Linked DNA regions of Drosophila melanogaster. The protein of the gene in region 1 interacts with the protein of each later gene in a pairwise test. Each region holds a gene or a part of one and is shown in the gene's direction. Other genes may lie near its edges.

Region 1 (10,217 bases):
ATGGAGTTATATAAAATTACTACGAGTACGTCTTGTTCCGCTGGGAATTATAAAGTTACAATGTATAACAGTATATAAAGTATTTACATTCTTGATTACCGATCTAGCCATACATAGCCGTACATATCTTAAAGCCCGCACGGCTCGCTTTGTTGATTTTTTATCCTATTGCATTTTGCCGCAAGTTACATACCATTTGAACCTATTATTTACAAGCTACATTTAGACCAATTTATATATACAAATTAAAAGCTTTTATTTATGTTTTATTATCTATTATTGATGCCATTTGCTCGCATCTTTTAGAAACCGCATAAAGAATTTGTATTGTAACTCTAAAATCAAAAAGCATAAGTCTAATAGTTATCTTTTTAAAAAAATTTAGAAACTTTAAAAACAACCAATTATTAATAACAATAACACAATATATGTACATACATTTTTGATTTTTATGGTAGACCTTCGGAATGCTTATGAATCTTCAATTAAATGTTGAACTTTATAAGGTAATAGACAGTTGTGGCGGTTTAGCTGGCCTCTAACTGGTTTAATACTAGTTTAAAGCAGCGTCATTGATCTTCATAAATTGTTTATGGTGTCACAGAGCAGTATATCCACGTCACATCGGTCTCCCACTGAACAAAAGTTCTGGCTCTTCAAAATTCACAACACCAACGCGGGTTAACATCTATAAAGCTAAAGTTCCAACGAGAACACCTGTGGGTGCCGAGAGCTTTTGGATTGAATCGCAACTAAACCCGACCGAATGCGGCAAACGCTGATGATGAACTCAAGCGAGCTCTAGACAAAAGTGCGCCAAGTTCGCATGAAGCGGCACAGAGAGCCTATGACCAAGTAATTAGCAATACAATTGAGAGGGTCTCACACAACGGCCATAATAATGCTACGCTCGCCTTCACAATTATTAAGCATAAAACCAGATTTTAATTGATACAACTCATAACCACCGTTTCGAAACGAACTGTATTTTGTTTGCCCCAAATGCGTAGTTATGTGGAAGTTCGAAATATCTATCTATAGAAAGTCAGTTACATCCCACACTGGCCGCGCTGCTTTGAGGGCCCTGGGTGTGCATCAACCTGGTCAGACTTGGAACTTTGCTGGTAAACCAGACCGTCTACGCCGGGAATGGTGTTGCATCCCACGCAGGCGTGCAATGTGTCGTGAATGAAGATGTCGCAGTCAACGCAGAAGAACTGCTTGCAGAAACCGCATCTGAAGACGACTTTATCGGCGACCTTGTCAACGCCTTGCCCAAGAGCTTTGGCGCAGCCGTAACATTCCCTGACATCGCTGGTGAGGTCGGATGACGAAGCAGGCATCGCCTCAAACGGCAGTTCCTCAAAATTTGGCACCGGGAAAAGGTGGTGGTAGGAACGCGCCAAGTGCGGCGCGGAGACCAGGGTGAGGCCGCAAGACTGGCACTCCACGGGCAGCTCGCAGTACTTGCTGTTGCATTGCGGGCAGTGGTGGCCAGTAGTGGTCAGTTCACTGGGCTCCTCCAAGTTCTCTATGTGGCACATGCACATGGACAATGGCGCGTCCTTGCCCTCAACTTCATTCTTTGTGTGCGGGAAGCCCATGCGAATAAGCGAGTTGTGCTGAGTCTTAGCGGCGGGCGGTGGATCTACCTGAGACATGAGTTGATCCCGAAAATGTGCATCATCCAAAACAGCCCCGAAGGTGCCCATTGTTTGCTGAGTGAGGTAGCGGGCCACGTGAATCTCAGCGGACAGGGAAATAACCGAGCAGCGTATGCCCTCCTTTTTTAACTCGTCGATGGTGAGGTTAATATCGACAGGATCACATGTGGTGAGCGAGCCCATGATAATGACGATCTCTCGGGAGGCGTGCGACGGCACCACCTTAAGCGATTTTAGGGCCAGATCTAGGCCATTTTGCAGCGAAGGCTCGCTGGTCAAGGACACGTTAGCCAAGCTAAACAAAAAGGGGATATAAATGGAGAACGCTGGTTTGATTCGGTTCTTACCTCTCTAGCGCTTTGAGGTGCACGCGCGAAGTGCCGGTAAGTTCGGTCACCTTCTCCGCTCGCTTAGCTTTTAGCGCTATGAGTCCTAATTGGCTGATGGGGTTCTGATCGAAGAACTCCTCGATAAACAGCTCCAGCAGCTTGACGGTGCACCGCAGTCGTGTGGGTTTCAAATCAGGCACGCTCATGGACTCAGAGCAATCGAGCACAACGAACATGTGGCGCATCATGCCCAGGCGGTTCTGCTTGGACTTTTGAGCCTGCCTCTGGCGTTTGGCCTTCTGAATGATCTCTGCAATGGCTCCATCCAGCATCCCATCCTCGTCGTCCTTGATGGCCTCCCTAATAGGATTAAAAGTAAGTGCGGGCTTACATTGTCACGCACACCATCGCACCATGTCTTTTCATAGCCCGTTTCCCAGCGGTACTCCTTCTGGTCCTCTTGCTCATCGTCGGCCATACTTGCAGTCCTGATGCACTACCAAGTCAAATCAAGAAAGAAAAGCAATTAACGCTAAATAAAATGCGCCGGCTAATGTAACAGTGTGTACACACAGGGCCTACGTTAAATACAATACACTGGGTGGCAACCCTGGGTAAGTATTTATATCAATAAATATCTACAAAAGAATGACATAATAAAATGAAATAATAAAAAATAATTTCGAATTTCTTACCTAATATGAACAAAAAAAGTACAATATTATTATTATTGCGCCCAAAGTTGCCACATCAATAAATATACCCACCACGACGCGTAATTGGCTAACTAAGTGCACCGCCACACGGGCGAACTGAAAAGGGCGCTACACCCTAAGTTTGGGCACTTAAAACCGTGCAAGCATTGAAACCCGCGTTTTATATCATATACTATATTCGAAAAAACCTTCGAAATCTTAAAATTTACTGGACTGCAGTTAGTTTAAAGCTATCGACAGGCAATACACTCCCAGTAATATTAGGATTTAAATAGCTTAGCACAGAAGAGCATTCTAAGGTCCGCACAGCCGGAACCAAATCATCTCTGGACAATTTCCGTGCAGCCGAATTTCGCTTTTGGCATTCAGAGTTCGCGCGTACAACTGTGAGCAGCAGTGGAGCTGCTCGTGTTGAAAAATCGGGAGTCAGTTAAATTAAAATAACCGTTTGAAACAACATTCAGTTTGATATTTATCCAAAATTGTTTATGAAGGTGTGTACCAAAGTGTTCTAGAGAAATCTTTTAATTTAATGATATGTGGAATAGGCTTATTTGCAATCATACCTGGCCTATATCTAGTGCCTGCAAGGTTTAGCGGGCAAAATGAAATTGTGAACTTTGATATTATTTAAACTATATGTAATCCTTTTTTTTAAATGAAAACAAATAGGATCGAACCATAGGGTTTTATTTATTTTAATTTTTAGCTGTGTTGAAGTTCAAATGCATTTGTAACAGATAAGTTTAAGTAACTAATAAAGTCGCATTACGCATAGTTCGTGCTTTTCTGTGTTTTATTATATTATATATCTACAACAGTGCGGCAGGCTCGTTCTTTTCATAATGTACTTAGTGTTTTTTTTCGGCTGCCTAAGCGCCGCTGCATTTTGCCCATTGCAGATGTACATATGCTTGAACTCACCATATCGGACACACACCGCAGACAGCGACCGTTCGCGTTGCCACCTGGTTCAAGTTAGCACAAACACACCACGGCACTGTACTTTTTCTTCGCCGTTTACCAATATTTCAAAACCAAGCAATAACAAATAATAAGACTCCATTCAGCACTATTTTTAAGTCACACTTTAAATGCTCTCTTCAAAGGCTTGGGCGCTGGAGTCGTGAATAATGTTGGCACAGGAGATTTCACCTACGGAAATCGGCAAACACGCAAACATTATAAGAGGTGAGTGACTAAAAACATTGGTAAATAATTTTTATTGTTAATTTTGTGTTCTGCCCTGCAGCTGCACAGGAGGAATTGGCAAACATGGACGTTCTTGTATGTGGACGATGTCTCCGGGCCTACAACTTCGTGGAAGAGTTTCAGGCCCACAAAGAGGACGCCTGCGAAAAGGAAAATGCAAATTTGAAGGAATCGCTCGATCCCAAGCCCACCATCTGGGCTTTTACGCTATGGAAAGCTACTCAGCTGCACTCGCGCAAGGACGCGTCCGGCAGCTCGTGGGCCTTGTACCAGCATTGGGTAAAACTAGACGATAGCGTCCGCGAGCCGTGGATTGTGGCTGGGAAGACCATACAGTCATTCGGCAAAATTGCACACGGACAACTCCAGGACATGCCTGTGCGAATAACAAAGACTGTGGTCAATCCAAACAATAACAACACATCAAATAGCAACAACAACAACACGAGCGTCTCCCCTACCAGAAGTAATACAAAACATTCTAAATAAAAGTCACACTTGTTATTAAACTATATTTAAATCAACAGAATCACCAACCGGTAAGCTGCCTACGTTAGCCAATCAACTAAAGGATACAGAAAACGAAAGACCCAAGTCCAAGCCGAGTACACCAACGCCTTCCTCAGTTCCCTCTGCCGGAGCCGTGAAGCCGAACAACCGCATAGCCATTAGGATCGATTCCAAGACAGATCAGCGCACCGAAGAGCCAGTGGAAAAGATTGTCGCTAAGCGCTTCAATCCGCGCCGTAAGACCCACGAGTATTTGGTTAAGTGGGTTGATCGCTCGCATCATGAAAACACCTGGGAGGTGATGGCCAATCTCGAGCGTGTGCCATACTTTTTGCAGATGTTCGAAAAGCAATTGGCACGCCAAAAACTTACTAGGGAGAAGGGTCTGGATGCTCTGAAGCGCATGCAGTCATCAGGGACAAACGCAAAGTCAGATACTGCCGCCCCACACAGCCCACTTCCGGCGTCGTCGCAGGTATCGCCGTCTTCTCGGCCATCTCGAACTTCCAAGACCAAGGCTATGGATGCCTTTAAGCAGTGGGTCAATGAAACCGTTGCCGGAGATGGATCCTCCTCGCCTTCCTCGGCAAACGAAGATGAATCCTCCACGGAACAGGAATGGCCACCATCTTCTGGAGCGATCAAGCGAAAGCTGAACAATACAGACTCAAGTTTAGAGGGGAGCGGGTTAAACGACTCGATGGACCTAGAGGACCTTGAAGAGGATCTTCCGTCCCATACCGTGAAGCGTCTAAAAAACGGAGGAAGCTCCGTGCAGTTGAACAAGCCACGGATTCAGTCCACGGAAAAGCAGCAGACTAAAATTAACGGCAATTCCACCGTGGTATCGCCCCTAACGGAACAAAAAATGGGTGAAATCATCTATACTGAGGATAGCACGAGCTCCGGCATGTTTCGCAAGCCCGAGATGCCAAACACAATAAATTTGGTATTACGAAATAATGCTATTTCTACGCAGCAGCCAATTAATAACAATGATCTTAATTCGTTGCAGAAAAAGGAGAAACCAGAGTGTCCCGTGCGGTATCTTTCGCGCTCCGAGGTGGGCAGCAGCACAAGAGGCGTTTTTCGGGTTGAAAATTCCGAGGCACCGGCACCCGTTTCGCCTGCACCCGTTCCGCAAAAAGTGATCGCTGCGCCGCCCGCCGCAGGCATAGCCAAGCGTTTGCCAATGGCTCGTCCTGCGCATTCGGGCGCTAACTCGCCCATCACTGTGGGCCAGCGACAACACGCGCTTCGAACTCCCGGCCACGGCCCTGTAACAGCAGCACTTCATCGCCGTCCTGGAGTGGGTGGTGCATCCCATGTGCGTCAAAACTTGCAGCAGGCGCCCGGCCGGGCTCACCCGGGTGGTCGAGTCCTTGCACGAGCCGGTGTCGGAACTCCGCAACATCGCCAACAAGTACAAACTCCTCAGGGTGCCAAGGCAGTTACGCCAGAGCAAAAGATTTTACAGCTGTCAAAGTCAGGGGACTTGAAAGTTACGCGTAAAGTAGTGACCCGGGAAGAGTTGTTGGCTCAGCGCTCTGCCCAGGCACGCCAGCGACAGGCTCTGTCTCAGCAGCAGTCCAGTCAACAACAGAAAGCGACTCCTGCCCGGCAAAGAATAGTTTCCAAGTCAACAATCCAGCCAACGCCCCTGCAAATGGAATTGGAGGAGGAGATTCATCAGCACCAAGCTCAGTTGTGTCCAATCACCGGCAAGCTTATTGGTCAGGAGGAGACCCAACTGCAAATGGAGCAGGAGCAACAGCAGGAGCAACAACGAGAGCAGCTAGAAGCCGCGGCACAGGCCCTTCTGGGCAGCGATCAACAAGTTCTTACCAACGAGGACGGCTCGGCCTTGCTGGTGCGAGGAGAGGACGGCACTGTTTACCAGGTAGCGGGAAAAAATGCGGAGGGACAAACTATTCTCGTTACGCAGGGCCCGGATGGAGAACAGCAATTTGCGTACGTGGCAGCCGCAGAGGGAGAAGACCAGGATGTTCTTTCTCTGGACCACGCAGTGGCCGAAGCCGTTCAAGCCGGTGAACAGGTCGAGTCTCACGGCGTCGGAGCAGCTACGGCGGACGGTGAACAGATTCTCGTGTCCATGACAGAAGAGGAGTTGGCGCAACACCAGGTGCTTCAACAAGCGGAGGCTTCTGCCGCTGGAACGGGAACGCCACCCACAGCTCAGATCCATATCACGACGTCAGACAGCGATGGCACGGAATCCCAGATACCAGCGGAGGTGGTACAGGCAGATTTGCCTTCACCGGGTAAGTCGTGTTTTTCATAAAAATTTGACAAGGCCAGCTTCTTGTGTTGGCTTTTATATCCGTTACTCGTAGAGTAATAATAAAAGTTCATAACAGGTAGAAGGAAGCTTTTTGAAGATATAAAGTATATATTTTCTATTTATAATCAGGATCAATAAGCGAGCAGATCTAGCGTTGTCTGTCTGTATGAACGTAGAGAACTGAATGATTAAGCAGGGATATATATTCGCAGCGCAAGTGCGTTTGTTTCTCGAGGGGTAGATACTATCAGATGATAGTCGATAGCATTTTCTTGCTTTTCTTCTTGCAGAACTATACATTGGGTAGCTTTTTTATAAATCGGAATTGCATAGAAAATTATAGCAATATTTAGGGGATTATTCTTCAAAAACTAACTACTTGTTCATTTTCTGTTTTTTTTCAGGAGGTACACGTCGCGTTGTTTTGTTGCTTCAGGATGGAACCTTCATGATGACTGAGATGCACGAAGATCAGTTTAAGACGCTCAACATCCCAACGTAAAATCATGTTAATAGTATCCGTACATATAATTAGGCTTAGTTCTTAAGACTATTATATTGAAAGAACCTGACGTTGGTGGGTTCTTCCCATTTCCACTTTTGTTTGGTCCTAGCCAATCCATTCTCTTGGCCATAAGTATGCACCAGCACTGACTGAGAGCCGTGTTTGGCGAGTAGTGAATATTATTCTGGCGAAAGCATACCGGGAACCAGAACGCTAAACGTCTAGCGAAACAATAATGCTGCGCCGGGGAAACAAAAGGCATCGAACGATGAAATAAATTATGCGAATACCTTATTTAAAACATTATTTTATCGTGGGAGTCAAGCAGTTTTACGATAATTATCACTGCAGTCAAGGTGAGAGATTCCGCCAGCGTTAAAAGCCTTCATCGATGTTCTCATCATATTTAGTAATTTCCTCAAGCACAAACAAAACATGCATTTATCGGGGTCCCATCAATGATTGGTAATATTTTTGACTTCCTTTTAACTTACAACTCGTAAAATCATTAAGTAAATCTTTGTCGTAGAAAGTTTTAAAGTTCCCGAAATGCATAATTTTGCTTTTAACAAGAATCGTTAAATAACAATGACGGACTTAGATTTAAGTAAAATTACATTAGTTATGAATTGTAAATTATTTAAGTTCTTTTTAACTCGAAAACAAAAAGATAACATTATGTATCTCCATTAAGATAGCACAAGCAGCTATGGGAGAGCAAAGCCTAAATGTTATCAGACTGCATTTTTCAAATGCTTTTCTAAGCGTAGGGTTGAAATTTTCTTGATCAAATACCACTAGCGTAGGTCTCACTTATATCACTCATAAGCCGGCTTACTTTTGCAAATCAAAACGAATGTTTAAATTATCGAGCCCAATAAACAAAAAATTTCAGTGAAGTTGAATTTATTTATATTTTCTGAAACTTCGCAATAAAAAAGCCCACAGTGTCCGCATTTGCTCCGCTTGGACCGAAGCGCTGCAACAGACGAGATTTACATGCCTCGAAACCGGGAAGCGGAAGTCCGGGACCGCCCCACCGGGGAGTGGCATCTGTTAGCCGCAGCTCGACAAATTTTCTTAGTGCCCAGGCCACAAGACATTCGCACTCATCCTCGGTGACGGTGCACGTGCTATATACAAGGATGCCGCCAGGACGAACGAGCTGCACTGCCTGTTCAAATAGCCGGCGCTGAATATGGGGATATGAGGACAAGACCTTAACCTGTTTAATGCTGCAGGACAACTGTGGCCGGTTGCCCAGCCCACTGCAGGGTGCATCGAGCAAGATTCGGTCAAAGCTTTCACATGGAAACGGAGGCCCAGTGAATTCTCCCACGGGTGCAGATGGAGCGTCCGCTGCCACTGCCTCGGTGGAGTTAAAAACATGCGCCGTTATGCTTTTGTAGTGTCCCAATTTGGGCAGCATGCTGCGGACGCGACTGGCCGAATTGTCTAGGGCCACCACAGATCCCCGATCGCCCATCAACTCGGCTATGTGGCTTGTTTTGTTACCCGGAGCGGCACACATGTCCAGTATGCGCTCGCCGGGCTGCGGATCCAGGACACGGACGCAAACAATAGAAGGCAGGTTTTGCAACAGGCCGTCTTCGCTGCTTAGATCCCCCAGCGTGGGCACTCCGCTGACGTTGGACTGCATTTCCACGGCCACTCCAGAGGCGGGCTTCTCCGCGTTGTTGAACAGCTGATACCGCTGCATTAACACCTTGCCTGTACCCAGGAAAACCTTATTTGGGCTTTCGTACCGCTTGACCGTCCCGCGCTTGCATTTTCCATCCAGATCTGCGTAGACATTGACGAGTTCCTCCCGCTCAGTGTTTGACTCCATAGCTAAAACACCGGGGGCGTATATGTGGGCGCCTCGCAGTAGTGCAGCTCCGCAGTTAGTGTCAACCACTACCTCCTTGAGCTCGGAGTCGGCCACAGCTTTGGTGAGCTGTGAGTCCAGCGGATCAATGCACAACATCTCGGGTAGGTTTGGCAAGCAGTAAATCCTTGGAGATTTTACACCGTAGCGAATGGCGAGTTTTTCTTCTAACTTTTTCCGAAAGTCGTCAACGGAACACCTAAGAGTGTTCACCCTGTAAGTGGTGACTTTGGGAGTAAGGCACAGCCATTCCAACAGCGGAGCAAGTGCAGCAGACTTGACAAAACCAGGAATTAACAGTTAATAAAATTTGCAAGCCAGTTTTTGTTGTAAATACGTATTTGTGCACATTGAAAGTACATACATTCACTTTAAGGATATCGGCTTCCAGCAACGGGTTCACCAAAAATGGTGTTTTTGGGTAAAACATATTAACATTTAACTTAGTTCAAATCACCTGGATAGTGAACTTTATCGAGTGAGCATTGTGCGACAATGATGAATCGATTAATCCAAATCGTTGGCAACTCTAGCCGAGGTGGCGGAGAAGAGACGTGGCAGCATTTCCCGAGTTTTCACCACGGGACTACACAACATCGGCATCCCGCTCTAGCTCATGCGCTGCGCCCATCTCTATCGGCAACGTTTATGTTGGTGAGTTTGCAGTTTTTTCAACAGCAAGTGTATTCTCGGTCAAGTTTTATTTTGCTCTGTGATTTTAGACATTTCCAAGCAGAAGTTTTTAAAATTTCCGCTCCTAGCCGTGTGCATTTGATTCAATTAGTTGGTGCGTATGCGTTTTCAGTCGAAAAAGGGGGTGGTATGTCAAGGCAGAGATACTTTTCTTGATTTTAAGAAGTTCCGCAGTAATGTAGATGTTCGTGTGAGTGTTTAGTGTGGGCTATCCACGAACACTCGCGCAACGTACGCGGCTGTGGTGAATAGTGGAAGTATTAGTATTGGAAGCCGCACGAATTAATCGTCGGTGCTTTGTTTATAGCATTATCGTAACAGGAGACAAGGACAAGCTCTCCTTTAATTACAAAAGTGATAGCTAAATTATATAATTGGGAACATTTTACAATCTCTGT
Region 2 (7,766 bases), 1.6 Mb from region 1:
GAGGAGTTCTCAAAACGTCAGAGCCACACTGAATAAAAATGAGCACTATTTTTAATCGGTTTTTGTTTGTCATGTTTTTTTAAATTTATATTTATATTGAAAATTAATTAAATAAAATTGTTTTATCGTTTGTTCTTCGTGTTCCGTCATTAAAGAGGTTGGATGGCTTCTAGATCGTGATATTATTCATACCCAGCGAAATATCCAATTTTGTATGTACTTATTTACGTTTACGTTTTTTAGTGTCCCAATCTAGATCTTTTGTTCATTCACTTGTTTACACACGTCAATCGGCATTATCTGATATCTGTGGTGCGGCTCAGTTCTTCAGTTTGGGAGCCGTCCCGGATGAGTCAATGAGTATTATACTCGTATCATGATTAGCTCTCCGACTGTTGGAATACTGGACTATTCGATAGGGAGAGACCATCCAATCTTAGTAAGTGCGCTCAATGTCAGGTCGAACATCTCCCCATATCACTTATCGATGAGCTGGGAATGGGGTCGCGGTCGCTTGGCGGCCTAGACTGTAACATTGAATTGCCAGCGCCGACTTACCACTCCGAGAATTCCGGCCCAAGCTGCTACCGTTTTAAGGGAGCCAAAGTGCTTGATTTTTGCCGCTGGTGCTGAATACATTTTGCAGTGACTGTTCGATATATAGGGGTGGTTTCCAGATACTGGGAGATATTCTCACGCCCCGTATGCGGGACTCAAATCGATCGGGTTGAGTGCGCTTTTGCAGTACGCGACGTCTGTTGGCCAACTGAACGATCGAGCCGGACAATTGAGTTCGCCACCCGTTTACTATATTTCCCGATAAACCTTGCGATAATGGCTCTTATAACAAAAAGCCAACTGGCCAGGGGCTTTTATTTTTTATGTTTCGCTTCGATCGAGGCGGTATCCGCTCGCTTTTCGTTTCGTTCGTTAACTGAATTCTGTGGTTTGGCTGGAACGTTTATCAGGTCGTATGTTATATTATCGCTACTGATAAGAGAGCCCCCTTCCCTTCAACTTTCCTTTGGCTAAAAGATATACCTAAATCGAATAGGTAAAACTGGAATTTCGGAATCTTATCGGTCCTATGTATTAGCACATTAGTGATGTTGGCCTTTATCACTGCGTAAATGCAAGTATTTAATGCTTACCTCACAGGTTGGGTATGCCAAATATTTACGAGGAGAATATTTGTGAATTTAAAGTGGGCGGGCAAAGGCGCCCTCTACTGTCTACAAAACGCACTGTTAATTTTGACATTGCATGATAGGAATGACGCTGAGCCTTTTTTCAAGACAAAATGTGCTAATTATTTACCTTTTACAAATACAAGCACAACAAGTAAGTATTTATTTGTATTTAACCACTCAGCAATCGCAATAAGAAAAATAAATGCTTTATTATTTCAAGTAAATAATTACGTTATCGTAATGAACGGCAACGCTGTGAGATTTTCTCTGTCTGACCATGGTTGACCTCCCAGGCAGCCGCCATTTCCGTGGCGTGCGAGTGAAACGACTAGCCCATGTTTTCCCGCCGTGCCAGGGCAGCGAGCATGCTAAAGAGCGAGACGACCATACGCGTCCGTCGAGAACTGCTACAGCACATACGCATTTTTAACCCTAAAAAATACAGCACCGAGTCTTTAGTACAGTCAAAGTGACGCCGCGACAACTCAGAACGAAACCGAAAATTAAAAACGGAAGAGATTGTTGTTCCTGGTGTCCAAAAAAGATAGATTGTTTCGTTCGAGTGGCTCATCCGTACCCGATCGATACATAAATCCCAGCAAGCTGCCAAACCGGAGTGCAGAAGTGTAGTTTGTCGTAATCGCCGATTAATATTGAAAGGTAGCGGCTTGCAGTTGCGCGTGTAGCGCCCGCACAAACCGAATAACACCATCACTACGGCGTGCTCACCTGAATCCAAAACGCCACGAAATGAACAACCAACTGAATCCGGCCACCTACCGCAAGTTTAACAATCTGCTCAGTAGCGGAGCGGTCACTGTGACCGGTCCCAGCCAGCCGCGAATCCTCAAGTCGACGCGTATGGTGGTACCCGGTGGTGGCGGAGGAGGAGGTGCCTCTGCCGGAGGAGCCTCAGCCGTTGGCGGCGTAGCACAGCAGCAGGCGGTCAACGATGCAGAGTCGGGTGGCGTGGGTATCGGCGGATTAGCCACGCGATGCTATATCTGCGATGACCGCTGCGAGCCACAGACTTCGCTAACCGATATGTGCACCACGCACACTTCCACCAAATTCCCCAACAAACTGGCCCAGCTCGTGGGCGAGGGTTTCCTCGTGATTGTTTGCGGCGAGGATTACGTGTGCTCACGCTGTACCAACCTGGTGAACTACTACGACCGCCTGGAAAACGATGTGGAGCGCGTCAAGACGAACCTCATCAGTTTGCTTAACAAGAAGTATGCCATTAACGAGGATATGGGCCAGGAAGGCAGTCCGCCGCTCAAGATGCAGAAAATGGTCGGCGGATCCGCCAATCGCTCGTTGGAGGAGAGTCCTAGTGCGGATTTGCTGCGTCCACGTAAACTCCTGCAGGGAAACCCAGGTAAGTACATAAATACAGAAATTATAAAGCTTTCCTAATGCATATTCTGCAATCGTACAGTTGGCCAGTCCAAGATCGCCCCAGGAACCACCCAGAGCAGCGTCCAAGGCACCCAGACAGTCCAACGCAAGGCCACCAAGATTTATAAATGCACCTCGTGTGACTATAAAACCTCGGATATGCGGCTGTTCAACACGCATTATGAAACCTGCAAGCAGCAGACCTTCCAGTGCAAGACCTGCCGCAAAATCTTCCCGCACTTTGGGGCCATGAAGCAGCACATGGTGCGCGACCACAATACCGCCATGGATAACACGTGTGCCATGTGTCACATTAACTTCGTGAACGAGAACAGCCTGCGCAAGCACATGGAGACGAATCACGCTACCAATGTACTGGTGACCAGCACCACCACCATACCGGCATCAGCTGCTCCCGTGGCTGCTGCTGCAGCTGCCGCTGCAGCTGCTGCCAACGAGAATCTGGTTGGAACATCGCTATACACATGCAATCATTGCCAGTTCAAGTCAACGGACAAGGTCGTTTTTGATGAGCATATGCGCAAGCATGCCGCTGGTAAACCTAAGCCTTTTAAGTGCCGCCTGTGCTCTCAGCGCTTTGAGACGCGCGAAGCTGCTACTGTGCATGCCAAACAGCATCAGACCAACTTCTTCAAGTGCGGCACTTGTTCGATGACCTTCCCGAAACGGGAGATGCTTGTTAAGCACTTCGAAGTGCATCAGAGTCCTTCCGCATCGACGGTATCGCCCAAGCAGTCAGTTAGCCAGAACCTGAACACCCAGAAGCTCCTTCAAGAGACCATTGATGAGGCACTGAGCGATAGCCTGCCTGCTTCGACAGCTGCTGTGGTGGCAACCACCGAGTCGGAGAACAACATACGCTTCTTCTCGTGCAGCATTTGCTCACTGACTTTCATCCAGGAGACATACTACAACCACCACATGGAGACCCACAGACGTGACAAGAAGGCAACTTCGGCCGGAGCCACTGCCCTAAATTCGGCAGCTACGGCTTTACTAAGCGATGAGCCCGGAGAGGCAACTGGTAAGGCCGGTGACGAGAGCGGCGAGCAAAACGCAGAGGCCGACATTGAGAGCCTGTTTGAAAAGCTCCACTCCGACAAGAACGAGAGCGGTGAGGCGCCCAAACCGGGAAGCAAAGGCGGCGAGATGGTTATTACCTCGCAGGAGGGCAGTGGAGGCATAACCTTCAACATTACTATCCCGCAACCGGACGGAGACCAATCGCAAAAGGATTCGCCCAATACCACAGCACCTGTCTCTGTTAGCATTGACATGCCAAATTTGGATCAAGCCGAAGACGAATCACAGTCCCAGGGCAGCATCGATGCCAAGGGCGAAAGCGGCGAGGCCTCCTCTGCCGATAGCAAATCCAATGCCGCACCGGTTTCCATGCCCAGTTTAGATGATGACAACGAGGCTGCAGCTGCTGAAGCTGAGGCCTCAGAGGAAACCAAGACGGCTAGCAAAGCAGGTCAAGAGAAAGCCAAGGCCAAGGCTGGAGAAAGCGCCAAGTCAAAGGAAGCCGCCGCTGCTGAGGAACCACAACCATCTGACGAAGGAGACGTAGTTGCTAAGCGTGAGGCTACAGATACGCCCACAACTGAGTCGGAGGCCAATGCCACGACCGCTGAAGCCGGTGAATCTGGCGAAGGCGAGGTTACTGCCAGTACTGGAGCCGAGGGCGAGGCGGGTGAAGCTGCAGGTGGCGAGCATGTTGCCATGGAACTTGACGAAGCCATGCAGGCACAGGTGGAAGGTGGCCAGATCAAGTTCATTGTTAACGAGAACGGCCATCTCCTCCAGCTGGACAACCACATCCTGACGGACGCCGAAGGCAACCAAATAATTGTGCAAGATCCCGAGCAAATACAGCAGCTGCTCCAAAGTGTAGGAGTTCTGCAGTCCGGCGAGGGACTTGAGGGCGAAACCCTCCAGATGATGACCGATGGCAGTGGCCAGATGGTACTTGTCCATGGTGACAACAATGAACAGCAGCTTATCGATGCCTCCCTGTTGAACTCCGAGGGGCAGTTAATTATCCAGCAGGGACAGGATGGTGAGGAAGGCGCTCATGTCATTAGCGAGGATGGTACCCGCATCCCAGTGTCCGTGTCGTACACGGAAGATGGCCAGCCCATCGTCCAGGTTCAGCAACAGGTCCTGGAGGCCGCACAGCAGGCAGCCAGCGCTTCCGGAGGTGCAGATGACAAGGAGGCGGCTGCCGACTCGGCCGGCGAGGAAGTGCAAGTGTCGGAGGCATCTAGTGGCACGGCATCCACCACCGTTGTTGCCACGAGCACGGCCAGCAGCACTGGTGGCCCCTCCGGCGGCAGCTTTTTTGCCCTGGAGGAGTTTACGGAGACAAAGACCGACTAGGATTGGCCCTAGGGGCGTGGTCATGACCACTATACCATACTGGCATGCGAAGAGGACTGGTAAGTTAAAGGAATCACCAGCGTGAACTGGGATATTCATACTTTTTCGTTTGTTTTAGGTTTTAGCTGTGGGCACGCTCAAGATCTCTGGAGGACTTTTGCACACCCCAATTTGAAACCCACTCCCTGACACCCACAACCGAACCAACTTTACAGACAACTGAACACGAAGACAGAAAAATACACACACGAACCTTTTCAATATATATTTACATTTAGTATATGTATTAAACACTCCAGTAAACTAAAAGAAAGATTTCTTATTACCCAAGCAAAGGAAAAAAACTAATTCAATAAATCAAATTGTTCATTCGGTCCGTTTCGCACTAGGCTGCCAGGGATCTCAAGCCAGATCTCTTTGGTTGCCTCTTAAATATCGTATCTAGGTTTAGTAATAGTATAGACAAAACTGCAAGATGAAAGCGACAAAAAATGTATAAACATAGAGTTTATGTGAGAAACTTGGAATATAATAAATGTATGTATTTACAAGATAACTCAACAATTACACTAAATAAATCGATTTAAACACAAACATTTGATGAAAATTAAGTTCCGAAATCGGCACAAATCAATTCAGAAATAGTGATGCTTCCTAACACCTAGTGATCCCCGTAAAATGTAAGGATAGGTGAACAATCCCGCTTTCCACTTCCATAAACTCCAGATTCACACCCAAAACAAACAAACACAGGCCGCAAACACGCCCAAATATATGCATGCACGTATATATGTCAAGCAACTTGAAATATATAATTGTAAAGAAACGAACATCGGTTTCAAGTTCCTTTATACTCTGTGAGCGATCTTTGGAATTTGGTATGCATGTAAATCAATTCAGATAAGTTAATTAAACGCGCTGATGGCAACTGTGTTCCAATGAATACAGATGACACAGAAGGCAGTCCCAAAGTTTACATATTGTCAGTATGGATCCAACCATTCATTTCTCAAGTCAGTAAGTTCGTTGACCTTTAAAATGGATTAGTCGGTTATGAATGATATTTTCGAAGTATGCATACCAGCGAAACTTTCGACTCGTTCTTAATTGCCCAACACCTGTTGGCGGCGGATGAGGTCGACTATATTTAAATGTTCAGGTAGTTGATTAATAAGATTTAATACTAAGTTGGATACTAAACTGCCAGCGGTGGCATTAAAGCATTTGGACTGTCATGAAGGCCTTATGAATGCCCCGTTCCGATCCATAAATCAGTGAATGTTGTGATTCTGAAAACAGCAACCGGATTGGCACGTGGATGCGGTTTTGGAGGAACTAATGATTATTTCATAGTTATGAATACAAAAATAGGACGCGTACAAATTGGTGATCTGCGCCTGCGGGTTGTTTGTCATTTATATAATGGATTTGTTGAAAGGAAGATAAGATAAACGAACTCGCCATGAATAATTTATATTCGAATACGCTTCAATGGAAGGGAGTTGTTCTAGCAACTAACTCATTCACTTACACGGTGAACTTTTGGCGATGGGCGCGGTAATCTTTTCGAGGCCGGAACCAAATTGGGGATTTAGTTTGAGCCGACAGCATCAATCAGCAACTTGTTGCGGTTCGGTGACATTAAACGGTGTCAACTCCACTTGGCTTGCTAGTCTGTCGGTTACATTAAGTCGCTCTTCGAGAGTCGGTCAATATTATGCAACGGCCTTAATTAGGCGCCCACATGCAAATGAGCGACGGCAGGCGCAATCTTCTCGCCGATTGCCGCATCGAAAAGCGAAAGTCGTTCTTAAAGACAAGGTCGCACTTTGTATCGGATCAGATTGGATCGGATGGGTATGACAGATTTATAGCGAAGCTCACAGATCTAGGGTGCGCTGATGAAAGCTGACATTTCGGTGCGCTTGATTCGCTGGTCATTAGCATAGAAAACATGACTTCGACTAGTTTTGCGGTCCATAAATCTTAAGCTTTAAAAAGAGCATTTAAAAGAAGCATTCTTAGCATATTTCATAATTATAGTTGCCGGTTTCAACACGCTCTCGATAAACTAAGTAAGACTAAAATTGCGTTTCACTTATAAGACATAAGCATTAAAACTGGATTTGATTCGTTTTGCACTCCATGAGTCTTAGCTTTCTTTGAGACAATAGTTCTTAAAAAAGTTTTCTATTATTACCAAGAAATAAGATATTATTACAATTACATTAAATTAAAGCGTTACATTTTATTCATTCTTTTCTTCTGCATCTATTAAATAATTTTTTTAATTTTTATATTTTTATTTTTACCGATTTCTTTACCGATTTCCTTATTTGCATGTCAGTAAGCATAACCCCTATGGGTTTTTTAAATTGAATTCCACAAACATGCTTATCATATTTTAGCCAGTTTCACCATTGCAGTACTCGTATAATGTACGGATTTTGATTGCAATTTATTGAACATAGTTCCTGCATTTAGGCAAACTTTCCGGACTCCAGGAACGCAGATCAATTAAGTCTAGCACTTTATTTATAATTCTAGAATATATATTGACTTGCTGTAGATTTTGGCATGCTTTTGTTGTTCTCTTCTGGTCCGATTTGCATGGAAAAACAATTAACATAAATACGAAATAAAAATATTCCGAAGTGTAACGACGATATTCAGCCAGCCCATCGACAGCTATTTAGAAGTCAATATATAATTTTTTTAATGTCCTGTTTTTTTACCAACGTCTGGACCGAATCTCATCCACCGGTGGATGCGTGC
Region 3 (6,132 bases), on another chromosome or scaffold:
AAGAAAGACGCCAGGGCGGGCAAGCAACTAGGATAATCGATCGCAATGGCCTTGGTTACTAGTTGGTGATGTCAGTGGCGACGGAAATGGAAGTCCTGGCCACGCACTTGACCCAGTTCGGGAAAATCGCTTTTCTAGTCCCTCCAGAAGCGGCCGAATGGAAAGCGGGCGGAAGAACCATGCATAAAGCTATTGATTTTCCCTCATTTCCCAAGCAATTAAGGCCTTTGCCTTTAACCCAGTTACACGTACATATATCCATATGTACATAAGAACATACAAATGTCGGCATCTACATAATCGCAATGGTCCTTGGGCGGGTGCGAAAGTGGATAAACGGGAGAACCCTTGAGAGCGGGTGGGAGTTGGGCTAAGGACGTCGCCTGACACTTGCAGGATTCAGATTCAGATCTAGCCGCCTGCCGCCCTCCCTTTCGGGAAATGGAAGCTTGTGAAACGTGCAACAACCTACGCCACAGCATCACAAGTTGAGGAAAACCAGGGAAAATCCGCAGGAAAACCGAAAAGGAGTAGGGCAAGTCTGGCGCTCGGTGGTGGCGCTCGCTTCTTCCCAATTACCACCCCCGAATCAACGACATGTTATTTTGCCGAGTCCTTTTTTTGCTTTTTACCGACGCAGAAAAAAAGACGCATCAGCAGCACCAACAACAACAGCCGACGTCGCGGCGAAAAGAGCGAACAAACATTTGCCAAAAACAACACGTACACCGGACGAAAACGCACGTCGACCTGTTCACTTCCCTACAAAAACAGAGTTGCGAAACATCCCAAGTGGTAACGTCAATCCTTTTGTTGCAATGAGTGCAAAACAATTTTTAAAACAATTGTATTTATTGACTATTTTACTTATTTTTATTATTATTTTTTAAGTGCATTGTCAGTTGGAATTTCAATGTTCCCATTATTTATAGAAGTTGACCCAGCAAATGTTTCAATTTACGCGCGATTATGCTTTTTAATATGACTGACATAAATCAAATCTGTATAAATGCAAGATATGAAAATTATTAATTTCAAAAGCATTCCCAAGGGAAAAGTAAAAAATTAAAAGTTTAATTAGTCAGGACAAAGCTATCCGAATGCAACTTCTTTGAACTCATGATGGCGACGAGGAATACATCCTGGCGACGGCAGGACAGGCAGCCCTCCCCGCCGCCCACAAGCAGGGTTGCATGCACGCCAAGCCAAATCCGAAAGCAAATCGGGGCCGATAGTGCATAATATCGTGCGGCGAAGAGCGAGACGAAGAGTCGTGGCGAGTTGTGGCGAATTGAGGTTTTGCGCCGTCGGGCCGAGCGTCGCTCTTTTGCTCTTCATCTTGGCTCGTTATTTCGCTTCGCACCGTGTTTGCGTTCACAACTCTTGTTCGGGTTCTGCATTTTATTTTATTATTATTTTTTTTTGTTTGTTGCTATTCGGTGAGTACCTGCGGAAAAGTAAGGCAAGGCGATGAATGAAAGGAACAAAAAGGAAAAGAAAACGAAATGAAAAGCCATGCAAAGGGTTTTCCTCGTCAACTCGCTTGTTTGTGTTTTGTGTGCAAAGTGCCTGGTGAAAAGATGTACTCGCCGTACTGCCAAATGAGAAAACGGCAGGCGTTCGTTTATTAATGCTCGCGTTCGTATTTTTGCGAAAACCTGGTGAAAAAGAAATTTTCTGTGCTCGCTACTGCCTGTGAGTGTGTGTGAGTGAGTGTGCGTGTGCCTGTGCGCTGCTCGTGTCTGTGTGCGCTCGCTTTGGGTGTGCATGTACGTCACTGCCACCCATTTTTGTGTGCTGTTCTGGTTCTTCGTCCCGTCTCGTGTCGCCTCGCTGTTCCCTCCTAGCCGTCCCTTGCGGTTTTTGCTGCAACTCTGCGGAAACTCTCCACGAATTCCCCCCTTGCCTAGCGCACGAAGAGGATGGCAGCTCTGCCAATTCTTTGGTAACTTTTCCGCCTAGTGAAAACTGCTGCCAGTTTCCGTTCGCTTCAGGTACTCCGCTTCTTCCGTTCCGTCCAACTGACTGTCTGCCCGTGTTTACAATCGCGGCGTTTTTGCACACTGTGCCGTGCGTCTGTGTGAGTTCTACTTGGTGGTATATCTGTGTACATGTACACACATCGATACGACAGCGGAGTCTTCATTTTGTTATTGCCATTCTCTTTCACTTCCTTTTCGCCTGCTTTGTTGCTGTCGTCGCTGTGACAGTTATGCTAGTTGTTAGTGTGCGTGTCGTGTCCGTGTGAGTTTTCCGCGTTTCTTCGCCGGTGCGAACTGCAATCTGAAATCTCGCACTCGCGCTAAAATGGCGCATGTCAGAATCGAAATTAAAATCATAAGCCAAAAGCTACTCTGATCGTCAGGCCACGAAGAAGCGGAGAAAGAAGATGAAGAAGGAGGACCAGCAAGCGGCAACAGCAGAAGCAGGATACCTAACCAATTTGAGGATTATTCAACATCTCATCGACTCTTCAGCTTCTCTTCTCAGCCTTGCCCAGTTGCTGCTTCTTCCGACTCTGCTCTTCTCTCCTCTACACGCCACTCGTCTCCTCTGCTCTTTTCTCGTTTTGCTTTCCTCGCATTCTCGCAGCTCCCAGCTGCTGCCAAAACTTGTTTTCAGCAGCGATAGAAAAGAGGGGCAATGGAGCTGGACAGTGGCTGGCAAGGAGAAGAGGGGGTTTCTGGAAACCGCAAAAGCATGTTTAATGTTCTAGTCGCGTTACTGGACTCCGAATCGGAATCGAGTGAACGGATCGGATCGGATTGTCCTGGGGATTGAATGAGCTAAAAGGGGCTAAGAGAGCGGCTTACTTTCGGCCAGGTGAAAGCCAGGGCCATAAAACTAAGTTTACCACATTACCGCTTAGGATTTCGCTTCGGCTCAGATTAGCTGTTATACTGAAGTTTGGAGATTAAAGTCCTTTGATAATATTCTTTTAGTTGGATTGAATCGACTTAATAGTTGATTAGTTTGGAGAAAACACAACAATGTTGAGTTACAACTAAAAATTTGATTTATCTAAGTGAGCATATACATTATGACTTAGCAATCCAAAGGCTTATCAAAGTTTTCAATGCTTATCAGGGATTTTACAGGTGGGATGGGATTTCCATTCACTTAACAAGTTTGAATTTAGAAGATAACGAAAATATTTTGGTCTTCCAGAACGATTTTATAAGAGCATTATAATTAAAGTTGAAAGGATGCAAAAGAAACCCAGAATGGCGTTTCTTTTTGTTTTTTAAATCTAGTGCAGAATTTAACCTACTTCTGGGTTGAGCTGTTTTTGCTTTGCCAATTAGAACGTTATTCCCACATGGCGGATTAGTAATACGACTTAGTAACTTTCTTTTTCCCCTTCTTCGCGTCCTTGCAGATATTCTTCACATCACAGTCAACCAATGGGACCAAATCACTGCGACTCGAACTGGACACAATCAGCATCGGATCGCAGGGAACAACAGGAGGTGGTGGAGCAGCAGCGCCAGAAGGCGTCGGGGGAGCGGCCATCATAGGAGCAGCAACGTCGGCAGCAGCTGCCCAGGGCCCCTCGAGAATGTCTAGCCGGAAGGTGCCAGGAGGCTCTGGAGGAGCTGACGAATCCACAGCAGCAGCTGCCCCCCTGGATGATAATGCCAATGCCAGTGTGGAGATTCCAGACAGCAGCGAGGAGCCAGCAATGGGCGTCGGCGAAGAGATGTCTATCATAAGCAAAACACGCACCTCAACTTTGTCAGTGGAGCCCGCTAAGGAGCCAACAGTAACAGCAGAGCTGGAAGGCGAAAAAGAGCTGGAATCGAATCCAGTCTCCAAAACTCCTAGGTCCACGCCTACGCCAACCCTTACGCCAGCCGTCACGCCTACCGCCAGTGATGGAGTGGCGGCCAAGAGCGTGAGGGTTACCCGGCACTCGTCGCCACTGCTTCTGATCATCTCGCCCACGACAAGTAGACGTGAGGTCGGCGACGGAGAGCTAGACACCGAGGAACCAACGGGATCGGGTGGCCAAAGAAAGAGCTCCGTGGAGCGATCTTTGGCGCCCGTTATACGCGGACGAAAGTCCATCAAGGATCTGAAAGAAGCCAAAGAAGTCAAGTCCGAGGAGCCGCCTGCCGCAGCATCAGAGTCACGAGCTGCAAGTGGAGTGACGCCTGGCCAGGTCAAGGAACAGCATGTCGCGGATGGCAACGAAATGGAATCCTTGCCAATCACAGACAAGAAAGACCACAAAGACACAAAAGACAAGGGAGATGAGCGGGAAACCGATCAGGAGGAAGAGAAGGAAAAATCAGCTGATACAGAAATAATTGCAGATACAGAAAAAACTTCGGAGAAACAAAAGTATACAGAGAAGGACAAAGCTGCCGATAAAGATGGAGGAAAAGAAAAAGATATTGATGCAAATAAGGATATAGATAAGGAGAAGGAAAAGGTCAAGGAAGTACTTCCGCCAGTGGTGCCTATAGCACCAGTGACACCCACTTGTAACCGTGTCACACGTAAATCACATGCCCAGGAGCAGGCGATTAACACGCGGGTCACTCGCAATCGTCGCCAGTCCTCTACAGTTGGAGCCAACTCCACCGCGTCTTTGGTAGCTGCATCCTCCTCAGTAACAGAGCAACCCCCTCCATCTCGCGGTCGACGGAAGAAGCCAGTGGTGGTGGCTCCTCCCTTGGAGCCTGCGGTAAAACGGAAGCGATCGCAAGATGTTGAAGCCGACTCAGACGCCAACAACAGCACGAAATACAGCAAGGTGGAAGTGGTAAAGTCTGAGGAAGCTGAGGCACCAGAGGAGGACTCCAGTGCCGTGCCCATTAAGCAGGAATCTGTTGATGGCAACGAGGTCAGTTCTATTTCTCCAACAGTCACGCCCACACCCACACCTGCGCCAACACCAGCTCCAGTCCCGGGCAGTCGACGGGGTCGTGGGCGCCCGCAGAACAGGAACTCCTCTTCGCCTGCAACCACAACGCGGGCAACGCGGCTAAGCAAGGCGGGATCACCGGTTATCCTGACGCCAGTAGCCCAGGAACCGGCGCCACCGAAACGGCGGCGAGTCGGCTCCAGCACACGGAAGACTGTCTCGGCCAGCTCGCTGGCACCCAGCTCGCAGGGCGGCGCCGGGGATGAGGACTCCAAGGACAGTATGGCCTCGTCCATGGACGACCTGCTGATGGCCGCAGCAGATATCAAGCAGGAGAAGCTGACGCCCGATTTCGACGATAGTTTGATGCCAGAAGGCCTGCCCTCTACTTCTGGTGCGTCGAGTGCCAATGGTCATTCCTGCACCGAACCGCTTACTGTGGACACGGAAATTAATGTTAAGCCCGCTGATTCCAAAGTAAAACCAAAGGAGTCACCGGTGGTAGCAGTCGAGGAATCTCCATCACAATCCGAAACGCAATCTGCAAAGGTGTCAGCGCATGCGGGGAAGGCTCCATCTCTTAGTCCAGATATGATAAGTGAAGGCGTGAGCGCGGTCAGTGTTCGAAAGTTTTATAAGAAGCCTGAGTTCCTGGAAAACAATCTGGGCATTGAAAAGGATCCGGAGCTAGGTGAAATCGTTCAGACGGTTAGTAACAATGACACGGAAACAGATGTGGAGATGGCTGTTGATGGCGAGGTGAATCAACCGTCAACTCCCAAGTCGCAGGATAAAAAGAAAGAGGAGCAGGAAAAGAATCAGAAATCAGGGCTAAAGGCAGCAAAGAAGGCTCCTGCTAAGTTAGAACCTAAAGCTGAAGACATTTCTGAAATTCTTACTGACGTTCCTGTTGATATTTCGACTGAGGCAGTAGAAATTATAGAAGAAGCAGAGGAAGACACTTGTTCAAATAGCTCAATCAAACCAGGTGAGCTCCGACTGGACGAGAGCAACGATGAACCTGAACTGCTTCTTGAAGACGCCCTCATAGTCAATGGTGATGAGAATGAGACACCAGATCAACCGGAGGAAAAGGAGGACCAGGTGGAGTTCTTCCATACAGGAGAATACGACGACTTTGAGCACGAGATTATGGTGGAGCTGGCGAAGGAGGGGGTGCTAGATGCCAGCGGCAATGCATTAAGTCAGCAAAAGGTAGAACTTGAGCATCCCGAGGATGTAACTCTACACGAATCAAAAAA

The links. The genes of interacting proteins can lie anywhere in the genome.
Region 2: the proteins of Chro (region 1) and pzg interact in a two-hybrid assay, tested with the Drosophila melanogaster proteins (2 studies listed by BioGRID).
Region 3: the proteins of Chro (region 1) and east interact in a two-hybrid assay, tested with the Drosophila melanogaster proteins (one study listed by BioGRID).

What each region holds. Positions count from the first base shown.
Region 1 is NT_037436.4:22,871,620-22,881,836, reverse strand, and holds Chro (chromator), read left to right. Parts: upstream 1-2,852; 5' UTR 2,853-3,203; intron 3,204-3,611; exon of another isoform or gene 3,612-3,818; 5' UTR 3,819-3,842; coding exon 3,843-3,900; intron 3,901-3,961; coding exon 3,962-4,387; intron 4,388-4,448; coding exon 4,449-5,380; intron 5,381-5,446; coding exon 5,447-6,713; intron 6,714-7,137; coding exon 7,138-7,235; 3' UTR 7,236-8,135; downstream 8,136-10,217. Other genes in the region: Ssl1 (suppressor of stem-loop mutation), read right to left, coding at 1,050-1,959, 2,012-2,353, 2,407-2,471; CG11109 (uncharacterized protein), read right to left, coding at 8,149-9,402, 9,491-9,556.
Region 2 is NT_037436.4:21,284,497-21,292,262, forward strand, and holds pzg (putzig), read left to right. Parts: upstream 1-1,602; 5' UTR 1,603-1,940; coding exon 1,941-2,571; intron 2,572-2,631; coding exon 2,632-4,991; 3' UTR 4,992-5,050; intron 5,051-5,109; 3' UTR 5,110-5,814; downstream 5,815-7,766. Other genes in the region: CG12974 (uncharacterized protein), read right to left, coding at 559-639; Cpr78Ca (cuticular protein 78Ca), read right to left, coding at 7,723-7,766.
Region 3 is NC_004354.4:2,010,963-2,017,094, forward strand, and holds the start of east (enhanced adult sensory threshold), read left to right. Parts: upstream 1-1,680; 5' UTR 1,681-1,695; intron 1,696-2,158; exon of another isoform or gene 2,159-2,823; intron 2,824-3,379; 5' UTR 3,380-3,559; coding exon 3,560-6,132.